Linked DNA regions of Ovis aries. Each later gene encodes a partner of the first gene's protein in a complex. Links are inferred from orthologs where the notes say so. Each region holds a gene or a part of one and is shown in the gene's direction. Other genes may lie near its edges. The genes, in order: RRN3, POLR2F, POLR1C, TAF1A, TAF1C, UBTF and TAF1B.

Evidence for each region.
Region 2: RRN3 (region 1) and POLR2F share a complex: the UniProt entries of both Homo sapiens proteins name them as parts of the pol I pre-initiation complex. The link is inferred for Ovis aries from reciprocal best matches to the Homo sapiens genes RRN3 and POLR2F.
Region 3: RRN3 (region 1) and POLR1C share a complex: the UniProt entries of both Homo sapiens proteins name them as parts of the pol I pre-initiation complex. The link is inferred for Ovis aries from reciprocal best matches to the Homo sapiens genes RRN3 and POLR1C.
Region 4: RRN3 (region 1) and TAF1A share a complex: the UniProt entries of both Homo sapiens proteins name them as parts of the pol I pre-initiation complex. The link is inferred for Ovis aries from reciprocal best matches to the Homo sapiens genes RRN3 and TAF1A.
Region 5: RRN3 (region 1) and TAF1C share a complex: the UniProt entries of both Homo sapiens proteins name them as parts of the pol I pre-initiation complex. The link is inferred for Ovis aries from reciprocal best matches to the Homo sapiens genes RRN3 and TAF1C.
Region 6: RRN3 (region 1) and UBTF share a complex: the UniProt entries of both Homo sapiens proteins name them as parts of the pol I pre-initiation complex. The link is inferred for Ovis aries from reciprocal best matches to the Homo sapiens genes RRN3 and UBTF.
Region 7: RRN3 (region 1) and TAF1B share a complex: the UniProt entries of both Homo sapiens proteins name them as parts of the pol I pre-initiation complex. The link is inferred for Ovis aries from reciprocal best matches to the Homo sapiens genes RRN3 and TAF1B.

The regions. Positions count from the first base shown.
Region 1 is NC_056077.1:14,207,756-14,211,255, forward strand, and holds part of RRN3 (RNA polymerase I-specific transcription initiation factor RRN3), read left to right. Parts: intron 1-840; coding exon 841-979; intron 980-2,814; coding exon 2,815-2,945; intron 2,946-3,500. UniProt on the Homo sapiens protein: Required for efficient transcription initiation by RNA polymerase I (Pol I). Required for the formation of the competent pre-initiation complex (PIC).
Region 2 is NC_056056.1:215,583,207-215,586,296, forward strand, and holds the end of POLR2F (DNA-directed RNA polymerases I, II, and III subunit RPABC2), read left to right. Parts: intron 1-1,835; coding exon 1,836-1,907; intron 1,908-2,400; coding exon 2,401-2,491; 3' UTR 2,492-2,590; downstream 2,591-3,090. UniProt on the Homo sapiens protein: DNA-dependent RNA polymerase catalyzes the transcription of DNA into RNA using the four ribonucleoside triphosphates as substrates.
Region 3 is NC_056073.1:17,058,249-17,062,287, forward strand, and holds the start of POLR1C (DNA-directed RNA polymerases I and III subunit RPAC1), read left to right. Parts: upstream 1-1,239; 5' UTR 1,240-1,260; coding exon 1,261-1,329; intron 1,330-1,448; coding exon 1,449-1,520; intron 1,521-4,039. Other genes in the region: protein YIPF3, read right to left, coding at 71-268, 870-950. UniProt on the Homo sapiens protein: DNA-dependent RNA polymerase catalyzes the transcription of DNA into RNA using the four ribonucleoside triphosphates as substrates.
Region 4 is NC_056065.1:25,301,704-25,305,203, reverse strand, and holds part of TAF1A (TATA box-binding protein-associated factor RNA polymerase I subunit A), read left to right. Parts: coding exon of another isoform or gene 1-26; exon of another isoform or gene 27-53; intron 54-370; coding exon 371-484; intron 485-3,500. UniProt on the Homo sapiens protein: Component of the transcription factor SL1/TIF-IB complex, which is involved in the assembly of the PIC (pre-initiation complex) during RNA polymerase I-dependent transcription.
Region 5 is NC_056067.1:10,019,641-10,023,923, reverse strand, and holds the start of TAF1C (TATA box-binding protein-associated factor RNA polymerase I subunit C), read left to right. Parts: upstream 1-1,483; 5' UTR 1,484-1,649; intron 1,650-4,283. Other genes in the region: ADAD2 (adenosine deaminase domain-containing protein 2), read right to left, coding at 1-133. UniProt on the Homo sapiens protein: Component of the transcription factor SL1/TIF-IB complex, which is involved in the assembly of the PIC (pre-initiation complex) during RNA polymerase I-dependent transcription.
Region 6 is NC_056064.1:43,773,890-43,778,014, reverse strand, and holds the start of UBTF (nucleolar transcription factor 1), read left to right. Parts: upstream 1-1,325; 5' UTR 1,326-1,578; intron 1,579-2,160; exon of another isoform or gene 2,161-2,264; intron 2,265-2,454; exon of another isoform or gene 2,455-4,125. UniProt on the Homo sapiens protein: Recognizes the ribosomal RNA gene promoter and activates transcription mediated by RNA polymerase I (Pol I) through cooperative interactions with the transcription factor SL1/TIF-IB complex.
Region 7 is NC_056056.1:19,132,124-19,135,623, forward strand, and holds part of TAF1B (TATA box-binding protein-associated factor RNA polymerase I subunit B), read left to right. Parts: intron 1-429; exon of another isoform or gene 430-447; intron 448-2,056; coding exon 2,057-2,204; intron 2,205-3,500. UniProt on the Homo sapiens protein: Component of RNA polymerase I core factor complex that acts as a GTF2B/TFIIB-like factor and plays a key role in multiple steps during transcription initiation such as pre-initiation complex (PIC) assembly and postpolymerase recruitment events in polymerase I (Pol I) transcription.

The DNA.
Region 1 (3,500 bases):
TGACTAGTAGAGTTCATTTCCAAGGCTTTGAATCTGGTTTTGGTGAAGTCTGTTTCCCTTTTACTCTTCCGTCTGTTCCTTAAGTTTGTTTCTGTACACCACTTATTGTTTGTGGAGGAGTGATACGTAGAAAAGCACGTCAGTGTGATTCCTGTGTTCTACAAATTGTGTACCTTCACGCAGTGCCTCTCTGCTCGGAGCTGTGTCTTAACTTGGGTTCACTGGGAGGAGCCTGAGATGGGGATGCAGGTGCCCTTGGGACACAGGGTGTGGGGAAGCAGGAAGGGCAGGGGGAGGAAGGAAGGGAGAGTTGGGTTTCGATTGGAAGTCACTGCAGCCTGATCCCCCCCAGGAGCTCTGGAGCATGAGTTACGGGACAGAGTTAGTCCTACCTTGAGACTGGGGGGAATGGCCTCTTGTGACCTCATGTCAGTTACTAGGTCTGATTGGGAGGGTTGGGAGGAGCCAAGGCAGTTCTCCAGAGAATGGGGCAGCTGTGAGCTGGCAGCCAGTGCTCATAGTAGCTGAGGGGGTGGGTGCCCCGTCCCAGGAAAGGAAACCCGGCACCAAGAGTTTGTGCCAGAAACTGGGGGAAAGCTGTGATGTTTGCACGGTCACACTGTAGGTGGCTCTTCTACATGAGAGTCAGAGGCTGGATCTGTGCTTTCATGTTGAGTTCCAAGGGTGATTCTGATTCATGCCTCTGGTTGACAGCCTCTGCCTGGCAAGACTTCTGGGTTTTCCCTTTATCTTTTAAAGGAAACAGTTTACCTCAGGGTTTTCTCCCTAAACTACTTTTACTGAGTTTTTAAAACGTCAGTTTTTACTTTACCTTCAAAGGATGAAGATGAGGAAGCTGACCACAAAACTGAGGCTGATCCGGGAAGGCTCGATCAGATGGTCCATCCCATGGCTGAGCGCCTGGACATCCTCCTGTCTTTACTCTTGTCCTACATTAAGGACGTCTGCTATGTGGACGGTAACAGCCTGCAGTAGCCACAGCTGGGATGCACTGTGCTGGGCATACTGATAGAAAATCACGATAAAAACCCTTGTTTTGAGTATGAGGAAAAGAAAGTTTAGAGAGATTGTTTGCCAACGTGACATAGCTTGAGAATAGTGGGCCTGGGACCCAGACTCAGTTGTGTTTGTCTTCAAAGGCCTTGGTGGTCTTTTCACTGCCTACTGTATTAAAAGATTATATACGGAGTTTGGACAGTTTAAAGTGGACCTCAAGCTGGAGACATTTAAGAATGGTATAGTGGATATTTTGGAGAAGGAAATGGCAACCCACCCCAGTATTGGACAGAGGAGCCTGGTGGGCTACAGTCCATGAGATTGCAAAGAGTTGGACATGACCAAGCATACGTACACATAGTAGATATTTGGGGCTTTTCGGGTGGCGCTTGTGAAGAGTGTGTCTGCCAATGCAGGACATGTTAAGAGGATGCGGATTTGATCCCTGGGTCTGGAAGATCCCCTGGAGGAAGGCATGGCAACCTACTCCAGTATTCTTGCCTAGAGAATCCCATGGACAGAGGAACCTGGTAGGCTACAGTCCATGTGATTGCAAAGAGTCAGACATGACTGAAGCGACTTAGCACGCATGCATGGACACACTTGGTGTTATGTTTGAAATTTAGAGTCTGGGTACTTTTGGTTGTTCCAAGTGTTGGTGGACAAATTGATATGTTTCTTGCCTTTAATGGAATTTTTAGATTTTTAGTCTAGACACTTTGCCTTGAAAAAAGCAGTTTTTTTTCTATTTGCATTTCTCAGATTAAGAATGAAACTCAACCACTCAGAATAATAGGGCTTGAATCTGAGTTGAGTATGTTACTACTTTAACTTTTTTGCTGCTATAAAAGTAATACATGTTGGTTAGAGGAGATTTGGAAAATACAGGAAATGATTTTTTTTTTTAAAGACGGTTTATGGTCACACACTCCTATTTGGAGGACCATTATTAGCATTTTTAAATTTTTTTCTGTTCTGTTTGCGTGGGTGTATATGTTTTTCTCAACGGATTTGGGGAATCACACTGCTGCTGCTGCTGCTAAGTCGCTTCAGTCGTGTCCGACTCTGTGCGACCCCATAGATGGAAGCCCACCAGGCTCCCCTGTCCCTGGGATTCTCCAGGCAAGAACACTGGAGTAGGTTGCCATTTCCTTCTCCAATGCATGACAGTGAAAAGTGAAAGTGAAGTCGCTCGGTCGTGTCCGACTCTTAGCGACTGCATGGACTGCAGCCTACCAGGCTCCTCTGTCCATGGGATTTTCCAGGCAAGAGTACTGGAGTGGGGTGCCATTGCCTTCTCCGGGGGAGTCACACTATATGTAGTATTTTATAATCTTCCCTTTTTACCTCTTAAGAACATTTTCTCATACAATTCACGGTTCTTCTAAAATAGTTATTAATCATATGGGTTTAACTGGTTCCTTATTTTTTTCCTCCCCCTGCTTTATTTGCCATTGTAAGTAATAGTGTAATGAACATACTTATACCTATATTGTCACGTGTTTGCTTGTGATAAATTCCTAGCAGTAGAACTTGTATATGGTGATTTTTCCAATGTGTGGAATTATAGTGGTGTGTGTGAGATGAGGGCCCACTTCCTTACCAGTCCTGGATTTTTATAATTGAAATGGAAACTCTGTGCCAGATAAAGATGGCCTCCTATGCCCCCACCCCGACCCCCCATTAGCTTCATGGATGAAGTATTTCTTAATGGTTTTGTTTGCTTTTTTAAAATGTAAATGAAACTCGTGGCTTGAAAATAATGTATAGAACTGAAATGCCAAATTTTCTTCACAGGTAAGATTGATAACAACAAAACAAAAGATTTATATCGGGATCTCATAACCATCTTTGACAAGCTCCTGTTGCCCACCCATGCCTCTTGCCATGTGCAGTTTTTCATGTTTTACCTCTGTAGCTTTAAATTGGTGAGTATGTCATTTGCGTTATCGTAGCTTCTGTTATTCTTGCCCCAAGTTTTCCTTAAAAAATGAGGGGTGGAGGGAAATGTTGAAGAGGGACCATGAATCGACCATTTCTTTGTCTGGAGCTCATTTTACTTAGTGCCTCTAGTCAAATAGAAAGCCCTTCTCAACCTGTGGAAGGAGCCGAGGGCGTTGCTGCCCATCAGCTGAAGCTGTGCTCTGAAAACGTCGTCCTGCGTTTGGTCCACTAGGTGGTGTCCTTCCCTTTAATTCAAGCCTTCACTAAAATCTCATATGGACACAGTTGTAAAGCAATTATATTCCAATTTTTAAAAACCGCATATACAGTATGTAACTTTATTTTTTTAAATTCTGTTTCAGTTGATATTAACTAGCCCAAACTAAAGTTTTAATCCAGGATTTTAAAACTCGGAAGAGTTTGTTTTTCTGTTTTGAGAACAAAGCAAAAGAACACAGGACTCTTCTTTGCGCTATTTCATAGCTTCCTAGTCCTAGTCTAGGAGAGTACTGTTCATGGGTAGGAAGGTTAAACTCAAT
Region 2 (3,090 bases), on another chromosome or scaffold:
TGGCTGCTTCCCAAGGAAGGTTGCCACTTGGAAACCCTGGTGGAGACATTGAGGGCACACTCTCACATTTCCTGTGAATGTAGCAGGGCTGGATGAATGACTGCTCTTGAATTATTCATATCTTGAAAGAAATAAGGCATATGCATGTCAGGGAAAGCAGTTTGCCACATTCTTAAATGTTGGGGGAAGTTTAAATAATTATTGAGAGAAGATATAGAGAAAGTTAAATACTTGGTTTCTGCCCCTGGGGAATTTTCAGGCTTTGGGGAGTAACAGACATCAGAATATTTAGCAATAAAATTAGTAGATCATTTAGTGTAAACTGGTGGCTCTCAGACTGGCTGGTTATCTGAATCACCAGGGGAGCTTTGCTAATATAGGTTCTCAGGCTCCTTCACTAGAGAATCTGTTCAGCGGGTCTGGGGAAGGACCTGGGAACCTGTATTTTTAGCACGCTCTCCTATCAGGTTTGGGGTCCATTAGTGTAAACTTGAGTTGGAATCAATAAGGGTGACTTCCTAGAGGAGATGGGCCTGGAACTGGTTTGTCTGCTTTTAGACCCTCTGCTGTGGGCCAGGTGTTGCACTAGAATAGAACTTGGGGTCCTGGACCACCAGGTCTTGTTTGGAAAACTTCAAACGGGAAGTCACAGTTTAGTGACAGTGGTGTTGAGAGAAGTGTGTGTGAGATGAGTCAGGGCCCTGAGGCTTCAGCGCGTGCTTTCCAGGGTGGAGACCTCTGAGCCTCTCTCAGGCCTGTAAGAAGAGGAAGCAGTCGTGTGAGGATGCAGAAGGGAAACAACAGGGCCTGCATAAGAAGCTATAGTGGTTTGATGTGGCTGGAATGTAGGGTGAATAGAGGCAGGTAGCATGAGAAAGTACTGCAGAGGTGAGTGGGGGCCAGAGGAGGTCCTGCCTGCCTGTTGGCCATGGGGTATCAAGGAAGAGAGGTAAGCAGGGGAGAGCCTGACCACAGGCCTTGTGTAGGGGCTAGAGGAGCAGGACCCCTGCAGGGGGTGTTGCCAAGACAGAGAAGGAAGACGAGGCGAGCTAGGCCCTGAGGCAGGGCTGGGGGTTGAGTAGAGTGATCAGAGGGTGAGCTCTTGCACATGTGGGTCCTTTGTGTGGGAATATTCTGCTGTGGCCGTGGGCTCAGGAGTCTGTGACAGGCCCTGGGGAAGGTCCTTGGCCAGGGTAGTGGACGTGATGAGTGTCACACGACCCAGTAATGACAGCTCACACTTGTCCCTTTCACAGTACCTGGCTTCAGTTTGTGGATCACCAGTTTTTTAATGGGAGGTGTTACAGAATAGTAGAGAGGAGTCTTCAGGGTTCAAATCTTGGTTCTACCACTCACTGGCTGTGTGACCTTGAGGAAATTACTGACCTCCCTGTGCCTCAGTTTCCTCCTCAGTAAAACGGAAGTAGCAGTAGTGCTTACTACAAATGAGACATCCACGTGGTGGGTGGAGAGCAGCTATGGCGCCTAGTGAGGCTTTGCTTGTAGCCAGCAGCGTTTTAGCATTATTGTTGTGTAGGCGTGGCAGGGCTTTTTGTCTTCATTTTCAAATGAGGATGCTGAGATTTGGAGAGACATTCAGGGTCTTTCAGGCCCAGTTTAAGCCTAGTCTACTGGCTGCCACTCAAGTACCCTCACTGTCGGCAGCCCTGGACCGCTGCTCCGCACCTGCCGCTTTTGGGAGGTGCCCTTTCTTGGGGCCCTTTCTAGGTGAGCTCTGGGGCGCTGATCCGATCCTGTTTGTGAAACTGCCCAGCTTCATGCTGGGCCTTCTCCCTGTGTGTGTGATCTCCCCACACCTGTCCTTACACCTGCAGGATGTGCGCCCCTGTGATGGTGGAGCTGGAGGGGGAGACAGATCCTTTACTGATCGCCATGAAGGAGCTCAAGTAAGTCACCCAGATCCTGGTTTGTGGCTCCAGAGCCCTGGGGGCATCCCTTGGGTGCTCTGCTGCGCGCCTTCCCGCACTTCCCTGCTGGGGACGTGTGGTCTTGTTCCTGTAGACCCTTAGTTTGGGAGTCAGCCCTTCACCGGGGAGGAGGGGACGGGCCAAGGGGGAGGGGAGGACATTGACGAGACATGGACCGTCCCTGTCTGTCCCATCGTCCCTTTTTCCTGCTGCAGTTGGCCTTACCAACATCCCTCTGCTTTCTGCCTCGCCCTTCGCTGTGGGATGGCAGGCCCTTTGTAGATTTTGGTCCCACACTCAGAGAAGCAGGGACTTTTCTTTTTTTTTTGCTGAAATTCCTCACCTACGAAGTACATCCGTGGTCTCAAGAGGATGCTCCTAAGGCTTCTCCTCCCTTGCCTTCTGCGCCTGCTGTCCCTCTGCTGCAAAGCCAGGGTCAGCACCCATGTACCTCGATTTCCCCCGGTCACAGGGCCCGGAAGATCCCCATCATCATTCGCCGCTACCTGCCCGACGGGAGCTACGAAGACTGGGGCGTCGACGAGCTCATCATCACCGACTGAGCTGGAGTCAGCCTCTGGACTGGGCCTCCGCCCGTGGCTCATCTCATAGTCTTTTTATAGTCTTTATACGTGTAAATAGTAAATTCTTCAACCTTTCAACCCCTTCTGCCTCCCGCTGCCTGTGAGGCCCACCTGCGTCTTCACTGTTACCATCCTGCTGCCTGGAGGCTGTGCGCATCCCAGTGGCCCTGGGACCATCAGCTCTTTAAGAAGCACCAGAGCCCTGACCCCCTGGGCTCCCCTGCGTGCCCCCCTCCATCTCACAGTCCACCAGAGCAGAGGCTGCTGCAGGAGACACCTCGGCTGCCTTCCTAGCAGACAGACGCGCCTTTGTGCCCAGGAAGCTGGTTGCCACGGAAACCCCCAATTTCCTTTCCAGTGTGGACTGGCTGCAGGGGCTTCTCCCTTCTCAGGAGTATCACAGAGCAGGTCTCATCAAGCCACCCATTGTTCTCCTGAGGACCTGCCTCGAGCCTCTTATCGTGGGCTGGGATCCCCTTTCAGGAGCCAGTGCCCCCAGCAGGAAGCTTGGGGACGCAGTGATCTGCCCTCCCCGAGAGAGCCCCGCTGGCCAAGTCAGCAGCTGGAGCAAGGGCTGA
Region 3 (4,039 bases), on another chromosome or scaffold:
TTCACCAACTCCAGAACCAGAGGTCTCCTCGGTATACTTTTCCACCTGTCAGGGAGCCAACTGTGCTTACCTGATCAGCCACCTGCCGGCTCAGCTGTCCCTTAAAGCCCTTCATCCCCAGGAACTCCCCATCCTCTTCTTCAGCAGCAGCTGCATCAGCATCCACTTCTTCCTCACGCAGGCGCTGATGCAGCTCACCCATGTCCTCGAAGCTGGAGCCTGAGGTATCATCCATGTTCTCCATGTCAATCACTGCTGAGCCCCCACCCTGTGAAGACAACAGACCCTAGAGTGCAGGACCTTTCTGCTTCGTCCAGTTGAGTCCTTCTCCGTTCACCACAAGGTTTGGGGCTAGGGGACTTGAAATCGCCACAGATGACGCCACTCTCTTCTCCTCATTTGGTCTCAGAACCCCTGCTTGTTTGGTGCTCTGTTCTAGTCTGGGGAACCTAGTCCCTGTCTTCCATACACGGCTTTTTCCTACCTTCCCTACCAAGGCCCCAAAGGGCTGCAAAGTGCCCATTTCCTTCATCTCTCCCAACCCCAAAACAAGGCTATGCGCACCAAGTGTGGTTTTGGCTAGTGAATCCCATCCACCCCCAAGCCCACTCCCGCCATGCCTGTCTCCGACTGACTTTCCTAAACTTGTGGAAAGCAAGAGCAATTGGGCCCAGATACCTAAGGCCCCTGGCTGGAGTACCAGTCTGGAGCTTTAAGACCAGCACTAGCCCCACTGCCTTTCTTGTGCACGAAGACTCAAAAGAAGATAAAAAGTGTTGCAAATGGACCAGACTTCCAGGCTCTGAGGGAGAGTTCAGGGCGGCTGCCGGCCCAGGGGCTGCGGGCAGCCGGAGCCGTGGGGCCATTACCTGGATGTTTTCTTCGAACCCTCCCCATTCCGGGCCGGTCCCGTTTCGGGCGCCGCCAGCCGGCGCCGCCGGAGTTGCCATGTCCCTCGAGGGCTCCCGTCGCTGAAGCCCGTGCTTGTCCCGCGCGCGGAGGAGGAGTGGGAGAGATGCGGGCCTGAGAAAGGGACAGGTCTAGGGACAAGAAAGAAAGGTACTATGGGTCGGAATGCAAAAAAAGGAGAAACCCGGATGTTTGGCTCAAACCAACTTCCGGTAGCTGGGGACGTGGACGGAGGCAAGGCACAGTCTCGCGATATTTAAGATTCTAGGAGGTGCGTTGCTACAGAAACGGAGGCGGACGACTAGTGCGCACGCATCAGTTAGGTACTCTGGTCACGTGGAGGAGTTGAAGATGGCGGCGGCCCAGGCTGTGGAGGAAATGAGGACCCGCGTGGTTCTAGGGGAGTTTGGGGTTCGCAATGTAAGTCTTGTGGCCTTCAGCTCGGGAGCAGAGTGAATCAGGGATGAGTTGGCGTCAGAGTGGGGACGGGCTTGGCCTCGCTGCCCCTTCGCAGACATTCTCGTCTCTCTTTGCTCTAGGTTCATACCACTGACTTTCCCGGTAACTATTGCGGCTACGATGATGCCTGGGACCAGGACCGCTTTGAGAAGGTAGGTGGAGCTGGAACTGTGGGATCGGACTTTGTGATATGAGCAACCTGTGCCTTAGAAGCTGTCCTTGTAATTTCCAAGGCGCAGCAGAAAAGGGCAGCTTGCAGCAAGGGGCAGAGGGCGGTAGCTGGAAGCGGGGTTGTAGCTTCCCCCACCGGTAGTCCTAACTACGACCACAGGAGCCAGCAGTTAGGGCTAGAGTCCCTAGTCCTTGTCTGCCTAGTCAAGAACGAATTCAGGCGAGGAGGCAGAAGGTACAGAGTAAAGTACGAAGTTGATTGAAAAGAGAAGTACATGTAGAAAGGCACACGGGCAGGACCCTCCCATGGGATGCACACTCACCTCTTAGCCAAGATGGATCTGGAAGTGAAGGCTTCTGGGAAGAGCAAGACTCGTTATGGCCTGAATTATCCTCTGACTTTTGACCCCAAGTAGCCTTTCTGCACTTGTGATGTATCTTCCTTATCCTAAAAAGGGGGAAGCGGAGATCCCTTAATCCTTACTCAGACGAGGGATTTCGCCTTGCTTTGTTCTTGCTATAATTATTTCTTCAAGATATTTACTAGAGACAAAGACTGTTGACTCTGTTTCTGTTCTCTCTTCGTTTCTGGAGGGCAAACAGGAGGCTGATAGGAAATTCCTCAGCTGGAGCCCGTCTGTCTCCTGCCATACTTGTGATGTGGGACATGCTAAAGTAAAGGTCCAGGTTCTTATTCTACCTGTCCAAAGTGCAAAAAAATGTCACACAGAGAAACTGAGGTGTAGAGAGAACAAAGAAGCAATTTATTAAGGAGAAGGGAAAGCAGGCACTCACAGAAGAATACGAGTGTCCACACGAGTGAGGAGACCACCTGAGGGTCTTTCTAGCCCCACTCCATTATTTTAATTCCTTGAATGGGTGCAGGTTTCTTTGTTGTTGTTCTTCAGTTGCTCAGTTGGGTCTGACTTTGTGACCCCAGGGAATGCAGCACGACAAGCTTCCCTGTCGTTCAGTATCTCCTGGAGTTTGCTCAAACTCATGTCCATTGAGTCAGTGATACCATCCAACCATCTCATCCTCTGTCACCCACTTCTCCTCTTGCCCTCAATCTTTCCCAGCATCACTCGTTTGCAGTGAGTCAGCTCTTGGCATTGCGTGGCCAAAGTATTGGAGCTTCAGCTTCAGCCTCAGTCCTTCAATGAATGTTCAGGGTTTATTTCTTCTAGGATTGACTGGTTTGATCATTTGATCTTCCTTGTTGTCTAAGGAACTCTCAAGAGTCTTCTCCAGCACCACAATTCGAAGGCATCAATTCTTTGGCACTCAGCTTTCTCTCACATCCATGCACGGCTACTGGAAAAACCATAGCTGTGACTATATGGACCTTTGTCAGCAAAGTGATGTCTCTGCTTTTTAATGTGCTGTCTAGCTTTGTCATAGCTTTTCTTCCAAGGAGCAAGTGTCTTTCAAGGCTGCAGTCACCGTCTGCAGTAACTTTGGAGCCCAAGAAAATGAAGTCTGTCACTGTTACCATTTTTTCCCCGTTTGTCTGTCATGAAATGATGGTTCAGATGCCATGATCTTAGTTTTTTGAATGTTGAGTTTTAAGCCAGCTTTTTCACTCTTCTCTTTCACTTTCATCAAGAGGCTGTTTAGTTCCTCTTCGGTTTCTGCCGTTAGGATCGTGTCACCTACGTATCTGAGGTTATTGATATTTCTCCCAGCAATCTTGACTGCAGCTTGTGCTTCATCTAGTACTCTGCATATAAGTTAAATAAGCAGGGTGACAATACACAGCCTTGACGTCCTCCTTCCCCAATTTTGAACCAGTCCATTGTTCCATCTCCAGTTCTGACTGTTGCTTCTGGATCTGCATACAGGTTTTTCAGGAGGCAGGCAATGTGGTCTGGTATTCTCATCTCTTTAATTTTCCACAGTTGTGATCCACACAGTCAAAGGCTTTAGCTTACTCATTGAAGCAGAAGTAAATGTTTTTCTGGACTTCTCTTGCTTTTTCTATGATCCAGAGGATGTTGGCAATTTGGCCTCTAGTTCCTCTGCCTTTTCTAAATCCAGCTTGAACATCTGGAAGTTCTTGGTTCACATACCATTGAAGCCTAGCTTGGGGAATTTTGAGCATAATTTTGCTGGCATGTGAAACGACTGCAGTTGTGCAGTAGTTTGGACATTGTTTGGCATTGCCTTTCTTTGGGATTGGAATGAAAACTGACCTTTTCCAGTCTTGTGGTCACTGCTTAGTTTTTCCAAATTTGCTGGCATATTGAGTGCTGTACTTTAACAGCATCATCTTTTAGGCTTTTAAATAGTTCAACTGGAATTCCATCACCTCCACTAGCCTTGCTCATAGTAATGCTTCTTAAGGCCCACTTGACTTATTTGATTAGGGACGGTCTATTTATTATTGGGAGGATGGGTGGTTATAACAGCTTCTCTTGTGCATCTGTCTCCTAAAGCCACCACACTAAGAGCTTTCCCCCCTTTAATTTTCCCTTGGAGTGAAACACCAGGTTGTATAGAA
Region 4 (3,500 bases), on another chromosome or scaffold:
GGAAAATCCTTGGATTCTTTTTCTAGGGATGTAATACATACAAATAAAATGCCTCAGAGACCAAAAAATAAAAATAAATAAAAATGTTATCTTCAATATGTATCTTAAATGCTCACCTTCTTTAGACTTCTGGCTCAAAATGACATTGTTAATGACACCTGGTATTTTCATCAACAGGAAAAGCTTTTAATCACATAAAATGTAATAATAGTTTCATTGGGTGAAGTATAGTAAAATGTTGACAGTAGTGGTATCTAGAAAAAGGAATTATAGGTTGTTTTTTAATGTTGTAATCAGAAGAAAATAGCTTTCTGAGACATTGGTTAAGGCAGGGGTTTTACAGTTTTGTTAGTAACTTCTGTTTTGACAGATTATTTGGAGGCTTGGAAGTGAAATTCTTTATTATCATCCCAAAAGCAACCTGGAGACTTTCAATACCTTTGCCGACCGGATGAAAAATATTGGCGTCACGAATTACTTGAAGGTGAGAATGTAGGCTTTGTGCATTTACATCTGCAGCGTTCGTTTTTTAAAATTGCTCGTCTCAGTGATAAGGCAGGTAAGAGTGTAGAAAAGATGGGGAAGGGAGTAACACACCTGGGTCAATAAGAGAAGCTGAAAGAAAGATTGCATTAGGGAGCCACTTACTTCCCCGTTTCCTGTCGCCTACCACGTTGTGGGAGCACAAATATCTTCTCTCTGTGTATCTCTGGCTGCCAGAACCAGTCCTCCAGAATGGCTTGTGTGCTTCACTATGATGATGGACCAAATTCTGATATGTTTGCTTAAGTCAGTTGAGCTCTCTAAGAATTGGTGCTTTTGGAAAAGGGAAAGAGCTAAACAAATTGGGAATTTGAATACTTGAGAAAAGTTTTCCAGCTTTGTTGCGATATAATCGACATGTGATTTAATTTCGTTGAGGATATACAATGTGATAATTTGATAGCATGTGTATATTGCCAAATATTTACGTCAGTGTGGTTAGTTAACATCGCCATCCCCTCACATAATATCGTTTTGTTGTTGCTATGTTGAGAATGTTCAAATTCTACCCTTGTGGCAGCTTTCAAGTTAACAATGCCATAGTCACCATGCTGTACATTAGACCCTCAAACTTACTCATCTTATAATTGAAAGTTTGTGTCCCTTGACTATTCCAGCCCTCAGCCTATGGCAACCAGCATTCTACTCTGTTTCTATGGGTTGGATGTTTTTAGATTCCACCTGAAAGTGAGATGAGAGAATATTACTTTTTTTGTGTGACTTATTTCCCTAAGCGTCATGTCCTCAAAGCTCATCCATGTTGCCACACATGCAAGATCTCATTCTTTTGCGTGACTGAATAATACACCATTGTATATATGTTTGTATACAATATTTTCCTTGTCCATTCATCCATCATTGCTCACTTAGATTGCTTCCATGTCTTGGCTCTTGTGAATAGTGTTTCAGTGAACATGGAAGTGCAGACATCTCGTCCAGATAGTGATTTCAACTTTGGATATATATGCCAATGTGGACTGCTGGATTGTATATTAGGTCAGCTTTTAATTTATTAGAGGAACCACCATACCACCATTCTCCATAGTGGCTAGACCACTTTACATTCCAAAGGGAATGTATACCAGCAGTATACAGCAGTTCCCTTTTCTCCACATCCTTACCAACACTTGTTATTCCTCGTCTTTTGTTTTGTTTTCCTTTTGGTTGTGCTGGGTCTTTGTTGCTATGGGGGCCCTTTCTCGTTGCTGTGGACGGCAGCTATTCCTCCTTGCAGGGTACGGGCTTCTCATTGCAGTGGCTTCTCTTGTTGCGGAGCACCCGCTCTAGGTGCACGGGCATCAGTAGTTGCAGCACGCAGTCTTTAGTTGCTCCGTGGCATGTGGAATTTTTCTGGGATTCCACGTGTGAAACATGGGATTCCACATAGGAATCAAACCTGTGTGCCCTGCATTGGTGGGTGGATTCCCATCCACTGTACCGCCAGGGAAGTCCTCTCTTGTCTTTTTGATGCTAGCCATTCTAGCTCATTTGAAGTGGGGGAATTCCTTGGCTATCCAGTGGTTAGGGTGCAGAACTTTCACTATTGTGGCCCAAATTTAAGTTATTTATTTATTTTCAATTGGAGGATAATTGCTTTGCAATATCATGTTGGTTTCTGCCATACATCAACATGAATCAGCCATAGGTATACATATGTCCCCTTTTTCTTGAACCTCCTCCCCTAACCTTTTTTTTTTTTAAAAATATTTATTTATTTGGCTGCACCGGGTCTTAGTTGCAACATTCGAGATCTAGTTCCCTGACCCTCGCATTGGGAATCAAGCCCCAGCCCTCTGCATTGGGAGCACGGAGTCTTAGCTACTGGACCACCAGAGAAGTCCCTCTCCTGCCCATTTTTAATTGTAATATGTTTTTTGTTGTTCTTGCTATTGAGCTGTATGAGTTCTTTATCGATTTTAGGTGTTTCTTATCAGATACATGATTTGAAAATATTTTCTCCCATTCAGTAGACTGCCTTTTCATTTTGTTGATGGTTCCTTTGTTGTGCAGAGGCTTTTTAGTTTGATGCAGTCCCACTTGTTTATTTTCACTTTCATTGCCTGTGCTTTTGGTGTCATACCCCAAGAATTCATTACCAAGACCAATATCAAGGGGTTTTTTTCCCCTCTGTTTTCTTCTGAGAGCTTTAGTTTCAGATCTTACCTTTAAGTCCTTAATCCATTTTGAGTTAATTTTTGTGAGTGTAAAATGTAAATTAAGGGTCCAATTTCATTCTTCTGCAATAAACATCTATAGTTTCCCCAACATCATTCATTCATTAAAGAGTTTAACCTTTGCCCTTTGAGTATTCTTGGCTCCTTTGTCAAATATTAGTTGACAACATATGGATGGGCTTATTTCTGGACTCCCAATTCTGTTCCACTTGTCTGATGTGTCTGTTTTGAATGCTATAGTTTGGTAATATAGATTGAAATAAGAAAGTGTGATGCCTGCAGCATTGTTCTTTCTCAAGATTGTTTTGGCTATTCACGGTTTTTATGTGAATAATAAAAATTTTGCATCCAGATTTGAAGATTGTGTTTTCTATTTATGTGAAAAATAGCACTGGTATTTTGATAGGTATTACATTGAATCCAAAGATGGCTTTGGGTATTATGGGTAGTGTGGACATTTTCACAGTAGTACAGACATTTTCACAGTATTAACTTCTGATCTATGTGTGAAAATGTTTCATTGTTTCTCATGTTTAGGCGGAGTTTTATCCAAATTAAAGTGTCCTTTAATAAAAGTTTTATCCAAAAGAATTGACATCCTCCAAAATGTTATGATAATCTCCCTCTCTGTGATATATATTTGATTAAAAGCACTTTCTCAATCAAGTTTTGACACGCTTTGCTTTTTAATTTTTTCTAGTACCTCTAAATACAGTTTTGTTGGAACATTGCCACACCCATTCATTTCCATATCGCCAGTAGCTACTTTTAGCCAGACAATGG
Region 5 (4,283 bases), on another chromosome or scaffold:
TGCTGGCCTGTGAAGCCATGGCTGGACTCGAGGGCGGGAGGGAACAGCAGGCACGTTCTGGCGCCACCTGCGCCTTTTTACACGCCAGAGCGAGCGCCCACGTGGGGAGCACGTGGTACAACCGTCCGCGCATGGTGAGCTCCGCCTCCCGCCTCACTCGTAGCCAATGAGAGCCCATAAAACTGTAGCAGGACAGTATGCCCAGCCAATGGGAAGGCTAGTCTCCCAGGCAGCTTGAGCCTGGATGTGGACTAAGTGGCCACCTGGCCAACCTCCTTATTTCAAGGGCGGGGCTCCGGGTGTAAGGTGAGGGTGGAGGACAAGACCGTCCTATCATCTTCTTCTCTGCGCTTGTTTGTGTGGTATTCGGGAAACAAAGACCAGGGGAGGAGTCTGGGGACCCAAGTTCAGCACCTCACCCCTGCTGCCGTCCAAGGATGCCCTGCACTCCCCATTTTGCCAGCCTGCCCTCCCCAGCTGCTTAAGCAGCTGAGCCTAGAGGAGGATGGGAGGTGCTCATTCTGTAAGTGATGGTGTTTTCATTTGTAGCAGCCTCACAGAGTCTTTAGGGCCTACATTTAAAATCTGTTCACCTTAAGCCTTCCTGAAGCCAACTGTAAGTGTTCCACGTGGGCTCTAGCTAAAATTAGTCATTTGATATCCTGCCCTCCCCACCCCACCCCCGCTTTTTTTTTTTTTTTTCCTCAGAAGTGAATCTGTGTTGGTTCGTAAAAACATGTCAAGATAGCAATTCTTAAAAATGAGGGTCTAGCGATGAAGGAGAAATAACAAAAATAAAGTTGAGGATGAAGACAATTTACATGTGGCTTGCTATCATGCAGCACGGTTGCTTGAAGGAGATGAAAATTTTAACAGTCTTGAGGAGCCAGTGACCGGGAAAATGTGACCAGTTACTGAGTTTATGGTCTGTAAGTTGTGTTGCTGTTGCTGCTGCTGCTGCTGCTTGCTACCTTCGGATCTGACAACACGAGCCAGGACGGGGGCAATGTGGACGCTAAGGCGTAGAGAAACAGTTGGTAGCACCTGTTAACATTTGACTTGGAAGAGCAGATATGGAGCAAGGTAGATTCAGTCTCCCAAACGGTTCAAGGATTGACCTCAAGAAAGACAATTCTGAGGACTTCCCTGGTGGCTCACGGTAAAGAATCTGCCTGCAATGCAGGAGTTGGAAAAGACGCAGGTACGATCCCTGGGTCAGGAAGATCCCCTGGAGGAGAGCATGGCAACCCACTCCAGTAGTCTCGCCTGGAGAATCCCATGGACAGAGGAGCCTGGCGGGCTTCAGTCCATGGGGTCGCAAAGAATCGGACACGGCTGAGCGACTTCACTTTCACTTTCACTTTTACTTAATTTCCAGTGCCCACGGCGCCATCTGCACTCGCATTCTCCCTCCGCCCGGGAGGTGGCGCTCTGGAGCGCCCCTTAGGCCGGGCTGGGAGGCGGGACTTCCTGCCTTCCATGAAGCATTTCCGGCCCAGCCGGGGGAGGCGGTTCATCGCTTCTGTGGAGCTGTCGGGTTGCGGGCTCAAGAGCTAGGGTTCTGCCTTGGGGCTCCCTCGTGGCACGAGGGTCAAGCGAGCGTCACGCGGAGGTCGGTTTCCCCGACGAGCACGGCGCGACGGGATTACGTAAGTGCGCGCGCCGCCCCGACGGGACGGAGGGGCGGGTCCCCGTGCTCGCATCCACAGGCTCCAAACTGTGTGGCTTTGGGACGAGTCGCCCAACCTTTGCAGAGTTGGTGGTGAGCAGCCGCTGGCTCATGGAACGGGGAGCATCACGCCGTTGTAAAGCGTCGTAGCAACAACTGTCTGGCATACAGCGCTTGGTGCGAGATGCCTGCTGTTCTTGGGTTGAAATTCTGGGGCCTCGACGTGGAGAGGGAGGAGACGGATGGGGAGGACGTGGGCGAGTAGAGGTCTAAAGGGAAGGGCCTCCCGGATCCCCTCTCCCATCCCCGGGCAGGCGCACCTATTGCCGCACCCGGCGTTCGTGCAGACCCGACGAAACTCCGGAGGTCTAAATTCGAGTCCGGGAGAGATGAGGGCGGGAAATCGAGGCTGTCTTGTCTCGGGGGTTCTCTGAGGTCGTGGGCTCCACCAGCTCCCTCAGCCTCCCTGCGTTTGTTTGAGACTGTCAAGTTCCTCATTCTTGGATTTGTGCCTTCAGCTTTTACGTACTGATTTCAGTTCATTTCAGTTGCTCAGTCGTGTCCGACTCTTTGCGAGCCCATGGACTGCATGCAGTGCTCCAGGCTTTCCTATCCATCACGTAGTAAATAAGGCAGGCACCGGGGATAAAGTCCCTTCCCCATGCGGACTCTCAGAGCAGTTTGGAATCACATAGCTTTAGCTTTAAATATCTTATCACACATCGCAATGCGTGCTCCAGAGGAGGGATGCAGGGTGATGTGGGACAGGGCTGGGAGAACCAGGAGAGGCTTCCTGACTCAAAATCTGAAGGATGGGGGCAGATTTTTTAGGTGGGTAGGAAGGACAATGGTGTTCATTTTTAGTGGAGAGAGAGTGTGAAAAGGTCCTCTGGTGAAAAGACGCATTCCCACCACTGTCCTCTCCTGTGATGAAGGAGAAAGACAACAACAATCAGATGCCAGGAGGTCAGAAATGAATCTGATACAGTTCCTGTCCCAGAGAGCAGTCCCGAGGAAGAGATAAAGCATATAAGCCACAATTAGAATGAGGCTGACTCGTGCCCTGAGAAACACATTCTTTTGACAAGTTTTTTTATTATTTATTTATTTACATGACTGCACTGGGTCTTAGTTGTGGCACTCAGAATCTTTAGTTGTGGCATTCGAACTCTTAGTTGCAGCATATGGGATCTAGTTCTGCGACCAGGAGTCGAACCTGGGCCCTCTGCATTGGGAGTGAGGTGTCTTAGACACTGGACCACAGGGGAAGTTCCTCGTTTGAAAAGTGAAAGTGCTAGTCACTTAGTTGTGTCCGACTCTTTGTGACCCCATGGACTGTAACCTTCCAGGCTCCTCTGTCCATGGAATTCTCCAGGCAAGAATACCGCAGAGGGTTGCCATTCCCTTCTCCAGGGGATCTTCCCTACCCAAGAATCAAACCTCAATCTTCTGCATTGCAGGGAGATTCTTTACCATCTACCAACATTTACTGTGTGGTGAGCACTTTGCAAGGTGCTCAGAGTACCTGGAGGTATAGAGGTTACAAAATAAATGGATACATGCAGTGGTAGCTCTAAGAGGAAAGGTTTTGCATCATCAGGCTCTGAGGCTGGTGCTCGCTTCTGGATGCAGAGAGAGTTGTGGTTTAGAACTGGGGTTTTGGAGCCGCTGGAGGATCACGCTATTGGCCTTGGGCAAGTTGCTCTTTCCCAGCCTGTTTCCTGACCTCCATATGAGGGGCAGGAGAATAAAACTTGTAGTACCATGTCAGGCAGATGCTGGCACTCAGTAAGTGAGAACTGCTCTTATTTTTGCGTGTATTAAAGGATATTCCAGCTGCTTATTCTTGTTGAGCACTTTGTATTTTGTTGTTGTTCACACTCTTTGTGACCCCCACAGACTGCAGCACACCAGACTTCCCCGTCTGTCACTATTTCTTGGAGTTTGCTCAAGTTCACGTCCACTGAGTCAGTGATGCTATCTAACCATCTCATTCTCTGCCACCCTCTTCTCCTTCTGCCTTCAATCTTTCCCAGTTTTAGTCTTTTCCAATGAGGCGGCTCTTCGCATCAGATGGCCAAAGTATTGGAGCTTAAGCTTCAGTCCTTCCAGTGAATATTCAGGGTTGATTTCCTTTAGGATTGACTGGCTGATCTACCTGCAGTCCAAGGGACTCTGAAGAATCTTCTCCCACACCACAGTTTGAAAGCATCAGTTCTTCAGTGCTCAGGCTTCTTTTTGGTCCAACTCTCACATCCATATATGACTACTGAAAAGAAACAAATTTTGACTATATGGACCTTTGTTGGCAAAGTGTCTCTGCTTTTTAATACACTGTCTAGGTTTGTCATGGTGTCCCTTTCCAAGGAGCAGAGATCTTTGAATTTCATGGCTGCAGTCACCAAAGCCCTTTGACATAAACATTATTATTCAACACACAGTTGGTTCCTTTTTGTTGGAAGGTACTGTACTTGACAGTGGGAAGGCAGACAAATAATAACTCATCTCTGGCTTTGGGGAACTTGAGTTTGTCTTTAGAGTGTAACCTAGAGTGTGGGGCTTGTCGTCTAGGTAGGACTGTGTAATTATAATGTAATACGTGAGAGCGTGATGG
Region 6 (4,125 bases), on another chromosome or scaffold:
AATGCTGCAGGATACTCGCCGCCGATGCAATTGCCGAGCGACCCTCGGGACTGAAGTAACCACACAGCTGCTATTCTAATTTTATAGACAAGAAAACTGGGATCAGATGAAGTTAAGACATTTAACCAAACTCACACTGTTAAGGTGGGAAAGCCCAGAGGCTGGAAACCTGGGACTTCTGACTCCAAACCCTTTGATGTTTCGAAGTCAAAACAAGAAAGTCATTCCCTGCAGGTTCTAAGTTGGAGAAGGAAATGGCAACCCACTCCAGTATTCTTGCCTGGAGAATCCCAGAGTCGGAGGAGCCTGGTGGGCTGCCGTCTGTGGGGTCACGCAGAGTCGGACACGACTGAAGCGACTTAGCAGCAGCAGCAGCAGGTTCTAAGTACAGCGTGACATGGCTTGGTCCTTCACAAAATGCCCTCTGTAAGTTCCAAGGGCAGAACTGGGTTTGTGGGGAGGGGGAGGGGCGAGTAAAAAATAATACCAAATGATGAATCAAAAGTAAAGAGATAGCCTGCGATGAGGGCCCTGAAGCTTAAGCTTCACTAGCATCAAGGTAAATTGGCCCCGCCTACCCACTAAAAAATTCGGACACACCAGATCTTGACAAGATTTTCCTCCCGGTTTGTGAAACGTGGCAGATGTGGGCTGTGGAAGTCCTGGGAAAGGACTCTCAGTTCTCCCAGGGGACAAGATAAATTACAGCAACAGCGAGGCCGTGGTGTGGGGATGGAGAAGGCTGTGTGACAGGGGAAGAGTCCAAAGGGGCCGGCGGCCCAGCTGGCAGTGCCGCTGTGGTAGGCTGGCATCCCTAGAGCCGGGGGCGATGGCGCCGCCCCGGAGCGATGGCCCAAACCGTAGGCTCGCCTGATGGAAGCAAGCGTTCTTCAGACCGTCTTCTGGCTTCCTGCGTCCAGATGAACCTTTCTCGGTGGAGGAGAGGCAGAGACAGACAACCGCAGCCGACGGCAGTGGGAGGGTAGATGGTGGTCGCGCCTAGGCCTTTCTATCTCCGGCCCGCAGGATGGTGGAGAGCGGAGGCCTACGGGAAGGCTGCCCCGCTGGGGCTCTGGCGGCGAGGCCGGGGTGCCAGGCTCCCCTCGCGGCTCCCCGCCGCCGCCGGGGGGAGGAGGGGCAGGGGGAGCAGAGCCCGCGGCCTGCTTTCCCAGGGCTGGCCAAGCCTTTTTGACAAGCTGATAGCGTGCCGGGGATTGGCTGGTCCGGGCGTGACGCCGGTTAACAACAAAGGTGGAGTTGGAAGAAATTAGATTAAAGGAGGGGGGGGGGGGTTTGGAAATTAAAGGGGGAGCAGGCTGGAGACTGGAGGCAGAGACCGAAGGGGAGATGCGCGAAGCGCGGTCTCGCGGCTCCGCTTCGCCCCGGAATCCCCTTCGCCTAAACCCACCGGGATTTTTGCTCTCAACCGACTCCCGCGGCCCAGCTACCGAAGCAGGGGTGGGACGGATGGTTGCTGCTTCTTGAAAAATGCCCCCAACTCTCACCCTGACACCCCTTTACTATGGCCCAAGGGGAGAACTCTTTGCTCGGACTCCTCGGATCCTAAACTCGGAGGAGGTGAGGGGCATTGAGAATAGCGAGAGGTTCGCTCTAAAACCCGGAAGGCCCTCGCGGGGCACCGAGAACGGACGAGGCGGGGCACTCCCCCGGTTTTCCAATGTGTTGCAAACCTAAGAGCTTTTCTTGCTTGCTTTTTTTTTTTTTTTTTGGTAACACCCTTCCCCCCCTTTTCTCTCCCCCCCACCCTGCTTTGGCTCCAGGGTTGCAAAAGCAAAGAGCAATAAAAAAAAAAAAAAAAAAAGAAAGAAACCCGCGCATACACTCAGACACACACCAGTGGCGACAGGGGAGAGTTGGAAAGACGCAGGAGAGAAGCAGGAGGCAGCGGGGAGGGAGCAATGGGAGCGGGAAGCCGGCAGGTTCCCTCGCAAATCCCCCTCCGGCCCAACGTCGCCTCGCCGGCCCCGGCAGGGGAGCGAGGAGCCGGGCGAGCAGATGGAGGAGTGGAGCTCGCTCTAGGCAGCAGGCTTGGCCGGAGAATGGAGGAGCCGCCAAGCGATCGGCTGATTGGAAGAGAAACGCAGAGCGATGGAGGCGGGGGTAGGAGGACGATTTCTCTGCGGGGACTGGCGGCGGCGTATACGCCCGGGTCGGGCGCTGCAGAGCTTGGCTAGCTTTCAACCCGCGCTCGCCGGCTCCAGCCCCACGCGCCCCCACCCCCAGCCCTCCCGGCGGCTCCGCAGGTGAGTGCGAGCTGGGGGCAAAAAGACTCGAAAGTCTCAACACGCCCGCCCTGCCAAAAGGAGGAAAAAAAAAGAAAAGCATTTTTCCTTTTCTTTTTTTTTATTTTCGTGCAGCCCCCAGCACGGTGGGAGGGAAGGGGTGAGGCTGAGTCGCCCGGAGGAGGCGGAGGGGCCAGGCGAGGCCGGGGTGGCCCGGGAGGCGGCGGCGCCGAGGCGGCTCTGACGGGCTAGCGCTCGGAGCGGCGCTGCGCTGCGCCGAGGCGGGCGGGCGGGCGGGCGGAGCGGGGCGGGCGGAGCGCGGCGCGTGGGGCTCGCCATTAGCCGTCGCTCCGCTTCGCCATCTCGGGCTTTGTCTGGCGGCTTGCTGCCCCGGCGTCGGCTGCGGCGGAGCTGCGGCTCAGCTCTTCGGCCCGCCGCACCCTTAAGGCGCCCTTGGCCCGTGCTCCCATTCACACGCTCGGTAAGTGAGCCCCGGCGCCGCGGATTTCGGGGGAGAGGGGTTTCTACGAGTGGCGGCGGCGCCGATCTCCATGCGCCCGGGCAGGCCTGGGGAGCCATGCCGGGCTGGATTGAACCAGCTCCCACAGAGGCTCCTCCGCCGACTCGTAGCTTTATCGCCGCTTGTGGGATTTAAAGAGCAAAGAAGATTTTTTTTTTCTGTTTTAATTTGCAAAGAGGACATTTTTTAGGGATTTTTTTTTTTTTCAAGTTTCGTGTGTGTGCTGCTTAGCAGCGAGGCAGGCTCCGAAGCCTGGCACGGCGATTGGCTTGCGTGCGCCCCAAGCCGGTGGCTACGCTCCGGGGATAAGGGTGGGCGCGAAATGCCCGCTCCGGGAGGCGGGCGAGTGAGCGGGTGAGGGCTGGAGTGGAAGCCCGAATCTGAGCTGGGGGAGAGAGCTCTGGAGCTGGGCTGCAAACACCCCCGGAGCCTCTCCAGCTGCCGGGGGGCCCTCCGGCACCCTCTCTGCGGTCGCGCCTCGCGCCCTCCCTCCTGCGCCGGCCGAGCCTGCTAGTTCCCCCGCGGGTCTGGCGAGGTCGCTCTCGGCGCCCGCCCGCCTCGGCTCCGAGCCCCGCCGCCATCCGGGCGGCTGCGTGTCTCCCTGCCCCGACCCCCCCCCCCCCTCCCCGGCGGCAGCAGCAGCCGCCGCCGCCGCCACCACCACCACCACCACCAGCACTACCCCCCTCCCCTCCTTCCTTCCCTCCGCCTCGGCCGCCCGGGTCCCCCCAGCTCCCGCCCCTCCTCCCAGCTGCCCCCCGCGGAGCCCGCCCGGGCAGGCTGTGGGAGGGAGCGGAGCCGGCGAGGCGGGCGGGCTGGCGCTCGCTCCCCGGGGGTCGGTGTGCGCTCTACGGGGAAGGACGCGCTCGCTGCCCCGCTTCTCCCGCCCCCCCTCCCGCTCCTCCTCCTCCCTTCTCCCTCCTCCTCCCCGCTCCGGCGGCGGAGGCTGCGGCGGCGGCGGGGGGTGTGCGAGCTGAGGCCGGGGCCGGCGGGCGGGCGGCGGGCGGGCTGCCTGCAGGCGGAGGGCGCTGTGCTTTGTGCTTTTCGCCGCGAGGAGCAGCAGGCAGCAGCCACAGCCGCAGCCGCCGCCGCCACAGCAGCAGCCGCCGCCCCAGCGCCGCCGCCGCCGCGCCCGGAGGAGGAGCCGCTGCCGCCGCGGGAGGGAGCTGCGGCTGTGCCCGGCCGAGCGGGGGAGGGCGCCGCCGATCAGAGCCGGGGAGGGAGCCGCCGGAGCGGGAAGCCCGGAGGCCGCGCTGCGCCGGGTAACCGAGGCGGCTGAGGACGCGCGCCGGGTCGGGGCCGGGGCCAGGCGGCGGGGAGCGAGCCGTGGGTGCGGTGGACGCCTGGAGACCCGGGGCGAGT
Region 7 (3,500 bases), on another chromosome or scaffold:
TCTTTTCCATAGGGATGGTCTTGATCCCTGTCTCCTGTACAGTGTCACGAACCTCTGTCCATAGTTCATCAGGCACTCTATCTATCAGATCTAGTCCCTTAAATCTATTTCTCACTTCCACTGTATAATCATAAGGAATGAAAAGTTTAGATCTGAAATACCAGTATCAAAATAAATACAATACAAAGAAGGTTGTAACCTCAAGCAAAGTAAAATTGGACATAGTTATAAATTCTGGAAATTTACAGTTTGTTTTCTGTAAGTAAGTCGCTCAGTCATGTCCGACTCTTTGCGACCCTGTGGACTATGGCTCACCAGGCTCTTCTGTTCATGGGATTTTCCAGGCAAGAGTACTGGAGTGAGTTGGCATTTCCTTCTCCCAAGGATGGATCGAACCCAGGTCTCCAGCATTGCAGGCAGATGCTGTACCATCTGAGCCAGTACCATTATAATGTATTCCCTTGTGCTTTATAATTGCATGTAAGCTGAATGTACCAAAGTAACATTGAACAGAGACATATTTGTCCCTTCACTTGGTTCCCACACACCTTCACATATATAGAAAATGGGCAAGACATGACAGAGCAATATTATTGGTACAAATTGTTGGGAAACAGATTTTTACTTAGAATAAGGAAAAACTTTGTAATGATTAAATGCATTACAAATTGAATAGACTACCTTCAGGAAAGGTATTGAGTTCCCATCACTGGGGATTTAAAAGAGCTAGACATACACCTGCTAGGGGTTTTGCAAATTTAGACCAGATACCTTTAAAGGTCTTGCCAACTCTGAATTTGCTGGTTGGATGATTTCTCCTGTAGCGTGATGTATGAAGTGATTGTTACACAAAATAGTTTACTGAAGTTTCTCTCTTACCATGTTTTTTTAAGCTAGACATGCATACAGAAAAGTGAACATATCACAAATGTACCCAACCTGATGAACTTTCATTACCTGAACCAGCCCTCTAGATCAAGAAACAATGATCTCTGTACCCCAGAAGCTCCATCCAGTCCCAACTTCCAGTCATGATCACCTGCACCCTGAGAGTAATCTAACTCTATACCTCCAGTCAACTGTAATAAATATTGCCAAACAGGTTTCCAGAATGTTTGTATTCTAGCCTAATTTTAATGAGGTCCAACCATGTCAGAATGTTAGTCTTTCTGAAATTCCATAGATCTTAAAAAAAAAATCTTGGTTGTAGCACTTAACAGCTATCTTATCCTATAGTTATTTTTGAATACTGACCTCCTTTTCTAGAGTATATATTCCTTGAAGAGATCACTTTATTCATCTTTATATTTCCTGAAGTATCTTACATAGAATAGACTCTAAATTTAATATTTTTATGTGAATGGATAAGTAAATGAGGAAAAATTATATGTAGTATCAATGAGAAGAATGTTTGGAAATTGCAAAAATATAAATAGCATACCAAATTAACTACAAGGGTGCCTGTAAAATGAACAGAATTAATTTATTAATATTGGCTCATACATTTTCCTGAATTCTGTAAGATACTCTTTCTTAGAGGCTAATGTGAGAAAATAGAAAGCTGAATCCCACATTTTTAACTATTAGACTTAAGCCCTGGTGTCATCTCCAACATAGAAGCATGTGAATATTATGTAACACTGAACTGAATCTGTTAGCTGTGAATTTGAAGGTTGGCAAGAGGGTGCTGGTTAGGGAAGGCGAGCAGAAAGTCCTGCTTTGCCGGGATTATGATGACATCATAATTCCAGTAGGATTGCAGCTTTATCCCAGATTCTTCTATGATTGGCAAGAAGTAATGGCTTCACTATATCATTAAGGCCAGTAAGAATTGTTAGAGCCAGATAGAATTTTAGTGGCTTTTTAATTTATCACTATTACTGTTTAAAACAGCTCAGTGAGGATATTTGGGGTTTATGGGTGTTTCTCCTTAATGTTTTTAATCTATACTCCAAGTTTTATTCAGTGAATACATGTTATTTTTAAAATCAGGAAGTAGTTTTTAAAATAATTTATGTTGCAGAAATTGCTACTTTGACTATCTCTTTCATTCCAGTCTTGGCCTAACTATGAAGTTATCTTTAAAAAAATAATTGAAGTTGCCACATTCTTAGATTTGCCGCGTTTTCCAGACATAACTGAAAACTGCTATCTTCATCCAAACATCTTGTGTATGAAATACTTGATGGAGGTCAATCTCCCTGGTAAGTGTGAGGTATATATTATGAGTAAGCCTTGACTTATTGAATTATTATGAAAAATGTATTGAATCCTCTCAATCAGAGACTATTAGAGTCACCTGACAGGGTCTACAGTAACATGAAGCTTAACTTCAAAATTCTTTCTTAAAATGTTTTGGACCATTTAAAATGGTTAAAAGGACACTTTCAGAAGTAATGAGTTCTGTTTTGGATGGGAGGGATAAGCTTGAAAGATAATGTTTGGTTTTTACAGTAAATTTTTGCTGAATACAAGTAACACATGATTCAGTATGTATTATTAATTACTTAGGAACCTCTACCAAAAAAGGGCAGCACTCCTTCATTTGCATGAAGCATGATTATTAAATAAAGAATTCCAATTTTTAAAATCCCAGAAGTTAATCTACAGTGATATTTTTATTATTTAGTAACATTGCTATTTCCAGTCCCTGAAACAAATGGAGATGAAGGTCTGGTAGGATGCAAAGGCAGCCTCACTACCCTTCTTCACAATACACCAAGACACAGGTCACCCCAGCGGAATTCGCCGATGGAATCTACTCCTGAATTTCTTGCTAAACTAGAAATGTGAGAACTGCAGGGTTTCTATTCTTAACAGAAAATACAAACATGGCATGACTATATTATTGCTTATGCAGTATAAAAAAATGTGATTGAATATATTTTTAATAGGAAAGGAAAAGACATGTTATATGAAAAAAATATATATAAAACTGCATGTATGATATAATTTTAGCTATAAAAATAAACATAAATTGGAGTAACATGTATACAAATATAAATCTAAGTCTTATAAAATATTTTTTAAAGAGGAAAAAATAAGCTTCTCAAAGGTATCATTTATTAAGCTAAGGAATGTTGCTGTAACTTTAGAAGTCACTGGCTCTTTGATTAAGATTCCAGAATTTGGGAAGTCTGATTTCTGCACTTTGGCATGTTACATATATCAGTTTATTGTTTTGGATTTTGGTTTTTTGAGTTACTTTTGGAGTGGTTCTTTCAAAATATGGCGGGTTCCTCTGTTCTATTATATACTCCAAAATCGTAAGCTCATAATGAAGAACACTAAGATATGGAAAGAATGCAAGGAATTACCAAAATATAACTGGCTTGGGCTGGGTTATGGCAAGTATCTAGCTCACATAGTTGCTATTGGACAGAAACGATGGTGGTAGTGTTTTCTGACCAGTGTGTATAACTTAATAGTATTTCTCACCTAACTCTTCCTGAGAGTAAGAAGTAGAATTAAAACCACTATAATATACAGAGAGATACTGC